Linked DNA regions of Ovis aries. The protein of the gene in region 2 purifies or fractionates together with the protein of the main gene of each other region. This does not show direct contact. Links are inferred from orthologs where the notes say so. Each region holds a gene or a part of one and is shown on either strand. Other genes may lie near its edges. The genes, in order: ANAPC13, ANAPC2 and ANAPC7.

What was found.
Region 1: the proteins of ANAPC2 (region 2) and ANAPC13 purify together in Homo sapiens (affinity purification with mass spectrometry; 3 studies listed by BioGRID and IntAct, counting the BioPlex papers as one, with this or other methods). This does not show direct contact. The link is inferred for Ovis aries from reciprocal best matches to the Homo sapiens genes ANAPC2 and ANAPC13.
Region 3: the proteins of ANAPC2 (region 2) and ANAPC7 fractionate together in Homo sapiens (co-fractionation; 6 studies listed by BioGRID and IntAct, with this or other methods). This does not show direct contact. The link is inferred for Ovis aries from reciprocal best matches to the Homo sapiens genes ANAPC2 and ANAPC7.

What each region holds. Positions count from the first base shown.
Region 1 is NC_056054.1:255,496,306-255,499,995, forward strand, and holds the start of ANAPC13 (anaphase-promoting complex subunit 13), read left to right. Parts: upstream 1-745; 5' UTR 746-1,054; exon of another isoform or gene 1,055-1,175; coding exon of another isoform or gene 1,176-1,207; exon of another isoform or gene 1,208-1,229; intron 1,230-1,259; exon of another isoform or gene 1,260-2,207; intron 2,208-2,333; 5' UTR 2,334-2,365; coding exon 2,366-2,464; intron 2,465-3,690. Other genes in the region: CEP63 (centrosomal protein of 63 kDa), read right to left, coding at 500-745. UniProt on the Homo sapiens protein: Component of the anaphase promoting complex/cyclosome (APC/C), a cell cycle-regulated E3 ubiquitin ligase that controls progression through mitosis and the G1 phase of the cell cycle.
Region 2 is NC_056056.1:747,649-751,393, reverse strand, and holds the start of ANAPC2 (anaphase-promoting complex subunit 2), read right to left. Parts: upstream 2,350-3,745; 5' UTR 2,322-2,349; coding exon 2,214-2,321; intron 1,967-2,213; coding exon 1,344-1,966; intron 207-1,343; coding exon 74-206; intron 1-73. Other genes in the region: microtubule nucleation factor SSNA1, read left to right, coding at 2,527-2,578, 2,965-3,164, 3,485-3,592. UniProt on the Homo sapiens protein: Together with the RING-H2 protein ANAPC11, constitutes the catalytic component of the anaphase promoting complex/cyclosome (APC/C), a cell cycle-regulated E3 ubiquitin ligase that controls progression through mitosis and the G1 phase of the cell cycle.
Region 3 is NC_056070.1:54,333,898-54,337,542, forward strand, and holds part of ANAPC7 (anaphase-promoting complex subunit 7), read right to left. Parts: intron 1,162-3,645; coding exon 975-1,161; intron 1-974. UniProt on the Homo sapiens protein: Component of the anaphase promoting complex/cyclosome (APC/C), a cell cycle-regulated E3 ubiquitin ligase that controls progression through mitosis and the G1 phase of the cell cycle.

The DNA.
Region 1 (3,690 bases), on a different chromosome or scaffold from region 2:
ACGAGTCGCTGACAGCAAGCTCACTTTTACTCTCTGATGTTGTAAAAACTACATTATGAGCCTAGGTTTACTGCTTCCAAATATGTTCATGATTATAGTGCTTTATGGGCCCATCCCTTTTTTTCTCTCACTTTATTTCGCATCCCTGATTTCTATGGAGCAATAAGTTCAGGGTTCCCCAAATTCTGTCCTTCATGATTTCTGCCACATTACCATACCTCTGGAACTAACATTATGGTTTTTAAGTCAATTATTTTTAAAAACTTGCTAAATTTCCCACCCATAAATGAACCACTATCACCTGCCGTCAGCAACCTAAGCCTCAACAAGGCTAGGAAGGATGCTAGCCAAATGAGGCAGCCCAGGCGGGAGGGCTGGGCCGGGGGTACCTCCCCAGAAGTGGCAGCCTGACTCGCTGCCGACTCCGCTGGGAGAAGCGGAGCAGCTCGCCCACCCCGCCGCCCTCCCGCCGGCCGGCCTCAGGGGAAGGGCTGACCACCTGGCTAGCCCGGACTGCGCGCCGTGGGAGGCCATATCTTGCTTCGCGGGTCTGCGAAGCGTTTGCGGCGAGGAGGGGCGGGGCGCCGGGGCGGAGCCGGGCCGGCGGAGGCGAGCCTGGAGGCCAGCGGGCGGCTGAGGAAGTCGGCCCCCGGCCATTCGGCCGCTCAGTCTGCGGCCCCACTGCAGCCAGGGCGGCCTCCGGCTCCGGACACCGGCACCCGTCGCCTGTTGGACTTTCACACATGCGGTTACAGGCCTGCCACGAGCGCGCCCCCGAATCTTCCCGCCGTTACCTCCGGACGGGGGCGCGCACGCGCGTCACCGCCAACCTGACGTCCAGTCACGGTCTTCGGAACATTCGTTCCGCCTACTGCTCCCTGACTTTTAATTGAAGCAACGTCCTCCTTGACCCCCCCCCCCCTCCGCCCCGCCAAATGGGCTCACCGACTTCCGGGGATCGGAGAGCAGGGCGCCTCGGCCACATGACCGCTGGGGGCGTGGTTCTGGCTGTGCTGGGCCAGTGCTGGTAAAGGTTTCCCGCGCCCTAGCTTAGGTAGTGTAGGAGAAGCGCATGTTCGGGTTTCGGCCGATCCTATCGGCAGAGGTCGTTGCCCTCACCTCACCCTGATAACTACCTCCCTTACCGCTCGTCGGGAGGGTAGAAAAGGACTTACACGAAGGCCCTGGACTTCCCCCGCTTCCGCATTTGGTAGAGCCCGCCTTGGGCCGGAAGCCGAGGTTATGGGGCGGGATCCCACGCCTGTACGGACGGTGGTGGCCCGAGAGGGTCATATTTAGCGGGGGGGAAAGGGCATTCCAGGTTTGCTCTTTTAACTGCAAGTTTACCGATCTCTAAAACAGAGGTGAATAAAACTGCCCCTGTCCCGAAGAAACGCACGCACCGCTTGTCTGGGAAGACCCTGTAACGGGCAATGTAACAAGCCCCTGATGGGGCCCATTCACTGCGCCCCGGGAAATATGGAACCTGCGGAGGGGCGGATATCGCGTTCTTCTTGGAGCTTAGAGAAAGCTTCCTGCAGGAGGCAACCTGGGAGCTAAGTTGTTTAGAGTGACTGGGGGTTAGCTGAGGAAAAAAGGAAGAAGACAGAGCATTCCAAGCTTTGGGACAGTCACGTGTGTAAGATTTTGTTCAGGAAAGTGGTAACAGTTAATTATGGGGACTGGCAAGTGCCTGGGACGCTGGCTGTGACCTGGTCATTGCCCGCCTTGTACTTTCCACGCTTCCAGCCCCTGAAGAGTGACGGCACCTTAGCGCCTAACTCTGGAAATGAGATGTTAGCCCCGATGAGCTGACACTCAACTTTGAGTTTGGAAGGAAAAATAGGTGTTCGTGATGGGGCAGAGAGACCTTTTTAGGTGCAAAGGCTGGAAAGTGTGACAAGTTAGATATATTCTAAAGAAGAATAGGTGAAAAACTATTTGAGGCCAAATTGAGGGAAAACATGCTGAATCATTAATAAAAAATTTACGCACAGCAATTGAAAACAATAATGCTTGAACCATCAGTCATAAAGCCAACTTAACTTGCCTAGTGAATCATAAAAACAAGGAACCATTCAAGGGCAGAATGCATGCTGACGCTGAGTGATCCGAGAAAACTTTACCAAAAAATGGAATCTGTGTGTGACTAGGAAGATCAGCTGGGAGGTACTGTGATGTTATAAAGAAACTGTAATCTAATCCAGGTGAGATGAGTCTCCCTGGATGATCCAATGCCAAAACCCACACTAGAAAGCCTAGAGAACCCTAGTGGCTGGATTACATCATCTTTTCATTCTTCATGTTTAAGAAATAACCTCTTTGGTTTACAGGTCCCATCCGACAAGATCAAAGCTGCAAGAGAATGGACAGTGAGGTACAGAGAGATGGAAGGATCTTGGATTTGATTGACGATGCTTGGCGAGAAGATAAGCTGCCTTATGAGGATGTTGCAATACCACTGGTAGGCTGAAATGTGTGCTGAGGGTGATGGGTTAAAGGTCTGATCTGGTAGACCCTAGTAGGTGTAGGTTATCAATGGACAAATAAATTAAAGTCAAAGAAATCAAAACTATGGAGTCCTCTGACTCTAGAAACCTCTGGAGAGTATTTAGCTCAACTTTGTATTTGAAGAGAAATGTGGTTCAGATTGCTGAGGTGACTAGCTCAATTAGAGGTCATATGAGAACTAGAACTGAGGCCCTCTGAGCCATGTTCTGTCCACCACACCAAAGGGAGTAAAGAATTTAATGCACACCATGAGGAGGAACAGGAAGCAGTGGTATATGCACTTAATTTCTCTACCTGTGGCCTGTCATTTTTAGAAACTCACAGTTTTGGAACACATATCTATTCTAGGTTCCCTGGAAAATATTCAGAAGAGACCTGGCTTTTCTTCTTTTACATTTAGATCATCAAGCTCTTTTCTTTCCTAATCTCTGGAAAATTATTCTGCAGGGAGTTTGTTAAGCCTCACGTCATAAGATCTAAACGTTTTACTCGAATAAATGCTTACTAAAAATTCTGTCATAGAATTTTTGTCATAGAAGCCTAACAAGAAGAATAAGGATTGTTTTTCTGTAGAGCCTGCCAAGAGTTGTTGATTAAATAGAATTTGCAAGCAGGTGGTCTGCTGTGGCCATACATGTTTTCATTTAAGAATAAGAGGTAATGTGTTCAAGGAATAATACACGTAACAGATAATAAATGACAGCTTAGTTCAAGTTTAGAAAAATAATCAAAAGAGCATAATAAGAATTATAGCTCCACTTTCATTGAATACCTGTTTTGTGCCATGGGCTGAGGTTGAAACCTGACTTATTTTATCTATATCCTTAAAAGAACCTTCAGGGGTGATGATGATGTCCCCACTGTACAGGAAGAAAATAGGATCAAAGAGGAGATCTTGCCCAAAGGTTGGTAGCTAATAAGCTAGACTTCACACTGAGGTCTGTGAGGCTCCAGATCCTGTCCTGTGGACTTTTGTTGGTTCTTTCATTCCACAAGCAGTTCTTTGAAGCCTATTGTGTGCCTTAAGACTAGGTAAACATAAGGATGTTTCCTGCCCCTCTGAATCTAGAAAGGCAACATACATCAAAAAATAATTGTAATAGTAAATGTTCTGAGTGGAGGTCATGAACAGCTATGTAGTCTAAAAAGTGACTGCTTGCCTGGTGGGCATTAGAAAGG
Region 2 (3,745 bases):
TGCCCACTTCTAAAGCCAAGGCACCTAGTCACTTTTGCCAGCAGCCTCTTCTCATCCGCGGGAGGGGCCTCACCTTGTGGAACTCACGCAGGAAGGAGCGTTCGTACTCGCCCCGACAACGGTCCTCCATCCGCTCCCGGGTCACCTGGTGCAGGGTGCTGGTCACAGCCTCCGCGCTGACCCGCTCCAGCAGACTGAGCTTGTGCCTGGAGGAGAGCCCCGCCCACGTCGCACGCAGCGCACGCACCCGCCGCGCACCCTCAGCACAGCCTCCTGCAGCCCTCCCGCTGGGGCAAAACCGCCCCGAGGAACTCAAGACAAAGCGGCTGAGATGGCAGCACCGGTAAGGCACCTCCCACTCTCCCCAAGGGGTCAGCACCTCTGGCTACTGGGGCCAAGGCCTCGTCCACCTCCTAACAATGGCCCTCAAACAATAGCTAGAGAAGTCACTACTCCGGCCACGTGAACACAGACGTAGCAGTCTCTGCTTCTCAGTGCTGATCCCGACCCATGATGGCAGAAAAGCCCAAGAGAACCAAGCTTCTGGGGAGCACGCCACACCGTCAGCCCAGTGAGAAGACTCTGACGGCTGCGCAGCTGCCACTCCATTCACACTGACAAAATCATCACAAGGGGCCACGGGACGTCCCGAGCGGTCCAGGGGTTAGTAATCCTCCCAAAGCAGAGGACACAGGTTCAATTCCTGGTCAGGGAACTAAGATCCCACGTGTCGCGGGGCAGCTAAGTGCACACGCCACAGTGAGAGAGAAGCCCGTGCAGGCCAGCGAAGGCCCCATGCGCCGCAGTCCAGACCCGACGCAGCGACAGCGAACAGGGACTTTACACAAGCAAGCACCCAGAGAGCCGGGGACCCGCACGACAGGGCCTGGGTCTGACAACAGAATCCTTCCCCCCTCACAAGGCTAGAAAGGCCATCAGTTTGCCCAGCATGCTGGTCTAATCTCTGACTTGCTCTACAGAGAAGAAACAGCAAGCGTATTTTTCTCAATTCCAAGACAAATGTCATTCCACTTCCGAGAGCCTACAACAGGCACAGCAGAATTCTGCACAGCCCGGGACACGTAGAATCAAGCAGTCTTAGCGTAAGCAGAGTACAAAGGTGAATTCACCTGAGCCAGGGTGAATAACAGACACACCTAGGCAAGGACAAGAGGCATAAACTCATAGAAAACACACATCCTGAGAACCCTTGGGAACCAGGGCGAGCGGCAGAGACCACCCCCAGCTAGCTCACCAGCTCTCTGCAGGGGCCGGCGGGACCCAGAGTGACAAGCAGGAGCCAGGAGGGACAGGGACACAGGACACGCAGGCCAAGTACTCACAGGACCTGGCTGAGCTGGTGGAACTGCTCCAACGCTTGGCGGCACCAGCACTGCTGTTTGTCACTGCCGCACCCCGCGCACAGCGGGCTCTGCAGAAGGCGGTAGTACCGGCGGCGGGCATACCTGCTGTCCAATTCCCCCTCCAGTTCCGGGTCTGTGCCTCCTTCCCCTTTTCTCTTACTCTGCATGTAAACTCTCAAGAAGCGCCCGTAGAGGCGCTGGATCATCTCCTGAAAAGCTCTGGGAGTGGAAAAGAACAGGACGCCCCGCAACGTGGTGTGGACCTTCTCCCGAAGCCCCTGAGCACCGGTGCCCAACAGCAAGCCCAGGCGAGTCCATTTCTCCAGGAGCTCTAGACTACGCAGGTAGGGATCCAGGCGGCTCTCCAGCAGACCGAAAGCATCGAGGAGCAACAGAAGGCACTGGGGCTCGTCCGCACAGTTCTCGCGCTGAGAGATGGCATTCCAGAACTCGAGGGAGATGTTGGCCTGCAGGTCGGTCTGCAGCACCTCTACGAACCACTCCTCCAGGACCGAGTGCAGACCGTGGCCCCTGAGCACCTCCACCGCCGCCCGGAGCTCCTCCTCTTTTGGAGGGACGGCACCGCTGGTTCGAGAGGACGCCTGCAGTACAGAAAACCATGAGAAGGGGACGCACCGCGGAGGCGGAGAGGGTGGAGACAGGTGAGAAAAAGTGGGAAAGGGACAGCGCGGATGGAAGGCCACGGGAACCCCGCCGCCCTTCCTCGCAGGGACGCAGGCCCACGCGAGGGAAGGGCTGCGGAACACGCAGGGAAGCCAGGACGGGCGCCGGCGGGCTCGGGGCCCCGGGCACCCCGCGCCGGCCCGTCGCCCTCATCTCGGGCCTCACCAGTCCCAGCGCGGCCGGAGGCACCAGCCCGGTGCTCACGGTGTTCCAGGCCGCCAGCAGCTCCTGCGCAGGCCCCGCGTCACGGCCCGCCTCCGTCGCCGCCGCCATCTGCGCCCACCAGCTCTCAGAGCCGCTCGGCGAGGCGCGCCGCGATGACGCCAAATTGGGCGCGCGCGCGCGACGATGACGCACACGGTGCGCGGCGAGAGGCGCAGGGGCGGTGACGCGACCGGGGGCGGGGCGAGCGGAGATCGTGCGCAGGCGCTGAGGGGGGCTGCAGCGGCGGTTGGGGCGGCGGGGCCCGGCGGCGACCATGACCCAGCAGGGCGCGGCGCTGCAGAATTACAACAACGAGCTGGTCAAGTGTGAGTGGCCGCGCGGCGAGGCCGGCGGGCAGGCTGGGAGGGCGGCGGGGTCGCCGGCCTGCGGGCCCGGGCCGGCGCTGGCCCGCCGCGCGCGGCTGTTCCGGCCGGAGCGGCCCGGACGCCGGGCGGAGCCGCGGAGTGGCCGCCCCGAGAGCCGGCGTCTATGGCGCGAGCAGGGTGCGGGGGCCTGGGCGCGCTCAGCCCCACAGACAGCACGGGGGCTCGCGCGGGGCCTCCTGAGACGGCAGACGCTCTGGGACGCCGGCCGCCGGCCTGGTCTGGACGCCCGGGCCTTCGCTGGCCGCTCGCCTCGCGCGCTGGGGCCGGCGCTCCCGTGCCCACCGCGGCCCCCGGCGCCCACCGCGCCCGCTCCCCGCTCGCCCCAGGCATCGAGGAGCTGTGCCAGAAGCGGGAGGAGCTGTGCCGGCAGATACAGCAGGAGGAGGAGGAAAAGCAGAGGCTGCAGAACGAGGTGAGGCAGCTGACGGAGAAGCTGGCCCGAGTCAACGAGAACCTGGCGCGCAAGATCGCCTCTCGGAACGAGTTCGATCGGACCATCGCGGAGACAGAAGCCGCCTACCTCAAGGTGGGGCTCGGGGTCCGGGTGCTGGCCCCGGGGCGCCTAGACAGGTCGTCGGCCCCCGTGGAGTGACAGCGAGGCCTGGGTCCTACTGTTGGCGTCTTGTCGCCGTGTCGCTGGCTCCAGACTGAGCAGCAGCGGGAGCGGGAGCCAACCGGGGCCTGGATTCCCGGGGTGTGAGCAGTGGGCTTTGGGCTATACTCAGAGGGGAGCCGGGCCCAGCGCAGGATGGGGCGCCGGGCTGTGGCAACTTTCCGACGGGGCGGGGGGTGGGGGGGGGGGGGGGGGGGGGAAGAGTGTTAACTGGCTGGCGTCTCTGTCCGCAGATCCTGGAGAGCTCGCAGACTCTGCTTAGTGTCCTGAAGCGAGAAGCGGGGAACCTGACGAAGGCTACAGCCTCAGAGCAGAAGAGCAGTGGAGGCAAAGAGAGTTGATGAGGCCGCGGGTGGGGGTCCTGCCTGCGGCTCAGCGCCCCCCGCAAGCCTGTCTTTAAAGCACCTTTGTTCTTCAGGGAAGCAGCTTTCTCGGTTTGTTGTCTTTGGTGCCGAGAGAGGCAACTGCCAAGCTTCAGTGGCTCTGGGTGACGG
Region 3 (3,645 bases), on a different chromosome or scaffold from region 2:
CATACAATGCTATATTTCACTTCCTCAATATCCCATCCTAGGGCTACACTATAACTAGATCCTACTGATAAACACTTTTGCTTGTAGTTTCTTACCATTATAAACAGTGCTACAGTAAGCAGCCTTACTTATATACCCTTGCAAACCTTTTGTGAATCAATTACAGTAAATATCTAGCAATGGTATGACTGTCAAGTGGTGAAATTAGTTTTTTACCCTTCATTTATTTAATCATCAAGCAACCAAAACTAGTAAGAACTCGTAAGATAATTTCATATGAATTTCCCCAGGTATTCACAATCCTAAGAACTGACTGACATCTTGAAATTTAAAAAAAAAAAAAAAAAACCATTTTAGACTTAACTCTGTTTGTATAAAAGGGAGGAATAATACATGACTTTGGTTAGAGCCCAGATAATTCTATTTTTCAATTCATCCAGAGTGAATTTTGTTTTTAGCCCTTTGTGCTTGGTTGGATGAATTCTTGTACCTAAGTGGTTTTTAACTTTTGTTTCTCCAGTCAGCTCCCCTTTAAAATTACTTTAAAATTTTTTAATTTATTTCTGGCTGTGCTGAATCTTCATTGTTGTGCAGGCTTTTCTCTAGTTGCAGTGAGCAGCGGGGGGCGGGGGGGCAGGCTGGTCTCTAGTTGCAGTACACAGGCTACTTATTGTGGTGGCTTATCTTGTCAACCACAGGCTCTAGAGCACGTGGGCTCAAGAGCACAGGCTCTATAGTTATGGTGCATGGGCTTAGTTGCTCCGGGGCATGTGGGATCTTTCCAGATCAGGGATCAAACCCATTTCTCCTCCACTGACAGGCAGATTCTTTACCACTGAGCCACCAGGGAAGTCCTTAAAATTACTTTTTATTTTACATCTTCTACATCTAATCAGCAGTCTTACATTCCTTCCACCTCTCCTGCTCTCAATACAAACAAACCAGAAACATATCACACATCTATCTCCAATTACCTGACTCTGCGGAGTGGATGCAGAATTTCCAGTTGAAGGTCTCACTTTTGAAGTTTTACTTAGGGCTTTCTTTTGCTGTAAAGCCATAGTATACTTACTCACAGCATTCCGATACTCCTTATCATGAAAGAGAGAATCTGCATGATACACCAAAAGCTGGTACTTCTGAGATGGGGAGAATAACTCACTAGAAAAACAAAGAAAGTATACCCCCTACATGGGTTATTTTGAAATGTCAGAAAGAACGCCCTCCTTAGTGTCTACATAAGCCAAAAAACAAAGGCAATTACTTTAATTGCTAGTCCCTAAAAAAAGAGCCAAGACTCATACTCCATGTTAATACTGTCAACATATGTAGAAAATTGCCTTAAATTGTTTTCCTTTACTATGAAAATAATGATACTTCTAAATCAAATTCAGTAATACAGAGATATACAAAGAGAAATATTAATACAGCTGACCCTTGAACAAACCAGGCTTGAATTACAGGGTCCATCAATATGTAGATTTCTTTTTTCAATAGCACACACTACAGGAGTATATACCATCTTGGTAGAATCTATGTTTGCAGAACTGCAAACTCAAAGGAAATGCATACATAAAGAGCCAAATATAAGTTATATATTAATTTTTGACTGTGAGCCTCCTACCCTCCTCTGAAACTTGCTCAAGGGTCAGGTGTACATCTTTTCCTCCCCCTCTTTAACCCAAGCCCCCTTAAGAATTAATACTCTCACAGTAACATCGAGTTTTCAGGCTAATACAGACAAAGTAGAGCAATCATGACTTAATATTACCAAATACTGCCAAAGAAGGGTTAAAAAACTGCAAAAGAGAAACCCACCACTCTGAATCTTTTTTATCTAAGTGTTAACAAAAAGAGGTTTGGAGGGAATTTGAAACTCTTCAAATACTGAAGAAAATGGGAATATTTGAAATACAGAAAAAGACTAGGACAAGCCAATGGGACAGAATGGAACAGATGAGAGGATTAGCTGTATTTGATAGAAGCTGTTTTTCTCTCCATATGTAAGTAAATTTTACTGGGGCTTCCCAGGTGGCTCAGTAGTAGAGTCCACCTGCCAAGCAGGAGACACAGGTTCAATCCCTGGGTCTGGAAGATCCCTGGAGGAGGAAATGGCAACCTACTTCAGTATTCTTGCCTGGGAAACCCCACGAAAAGAGGAGCCTGACAAGCTACAATCCATGGGGTAGCAAAGAATTGGACACGACTTAGTAAGTAAACAGCAGCAGCAAGTAAATAAACTTCACTAGCACTAGAAGATTACTTCCTTGAGTCTCAGGGGTGTAAGGACATAGTAACAGAAGAAATACATTTCAGAATGTCCCCTTCAATATTGAATATTGCTTGCAAGTGTTATAGGTGCCAGAAGTGTCCACCAATCTTAATGGGAAACTTGTATTTTTAATCTCCAATCCCATCCCTCATCTAGTTAAAATTTACATTTTTTCTTTGACAGGGACAAGCTGTTGCTGCTAAGTCACTTCAGTTGTGACCAACTCCGTGTGACCCAATAGATGGCAGCCCACTAGGCTCCCCCATCCCTGGGAGTCTCCACGCAAGAACACTGGAGTGGGTTGCCATTTCCTTCTCCAATGCATGAAAGTGAAAAGTGAAAGTGAATTCGCTCAGTCGTTTCGACCCTCAGCGACCCCATGGACTGCAGCCTTCGAGGCTCTTCCATCCATGGGATTTTCCAGGCAGGAGTCGGGTGCCATTGCCTTCTCCGGACAGGCACAAGCTGCTGCCACTTAAAAAGAAAAAATAGTCTAAGAACTCTGTAGATGGTTAATTGCTCAGCAAATGAAGGATACTCAAGAACAGGTACCACGGATTAGTAACTGCCAAAGGCTGGGGCAAGTGGGATTTATGACTACTAACTGATTTGGGGTTTCTTTGGGGATAATACAAATGCTTTAGAACAAACATTGGTGATGGTTGTACAACTCTGTGAATATACTTAAAACCACAGAAATGTATTCTTTAAAAGCATGAATCTGATGGTATGCAAATTTTATCTTAATACAAAATAATTTTAAAAAAGGATAGGCTAAACACTGAATATAAAGTGACAAAGAAAAGTTAAGGATTGAAAGGTACAGTTCAGACAGTTGAGACCTATTCCAGCTCTGACATTCTATTTAGGGAGACACACTGGATCATGGAAAAAGCAAGAGAGTTCCAGAAAAACATCTATTTCTGCTTTATTGACGGTGCCAAAGCCTTTGACTGTGTGGATCACAACAAACTGTGGAAAATTCTGAAAGAGATGGGAATACCAGACCACCTGACCTGCCTCTTGAGAAACCTGTATGCAGGTCAGGCTGCAACAGTTAGAACTGGACATGAAACAACAGATTGGTTCCAAATAGGAAAAGGAGTATGTCAAGGCTGTATATTGTCACCCTGCTTATTTAACATATATGCAGAGTACATCATGAGAAACACTGGACTGGAAGAAACACAAGCTGGAATCAAGATTGCCCGGAGAAATATCAATAACCTCAGATATGCAGATGACACCACCCTTATGGCAGAAAGTGAAGAGGAACTCAAAAGCCTCGTGATGAAAGCGAAAGAGGAGAGTGAAAAAGTTGGCTTAAAGCTCAACATTCAGAAACTAAGATCATGGCATCTGGTCTGATAACT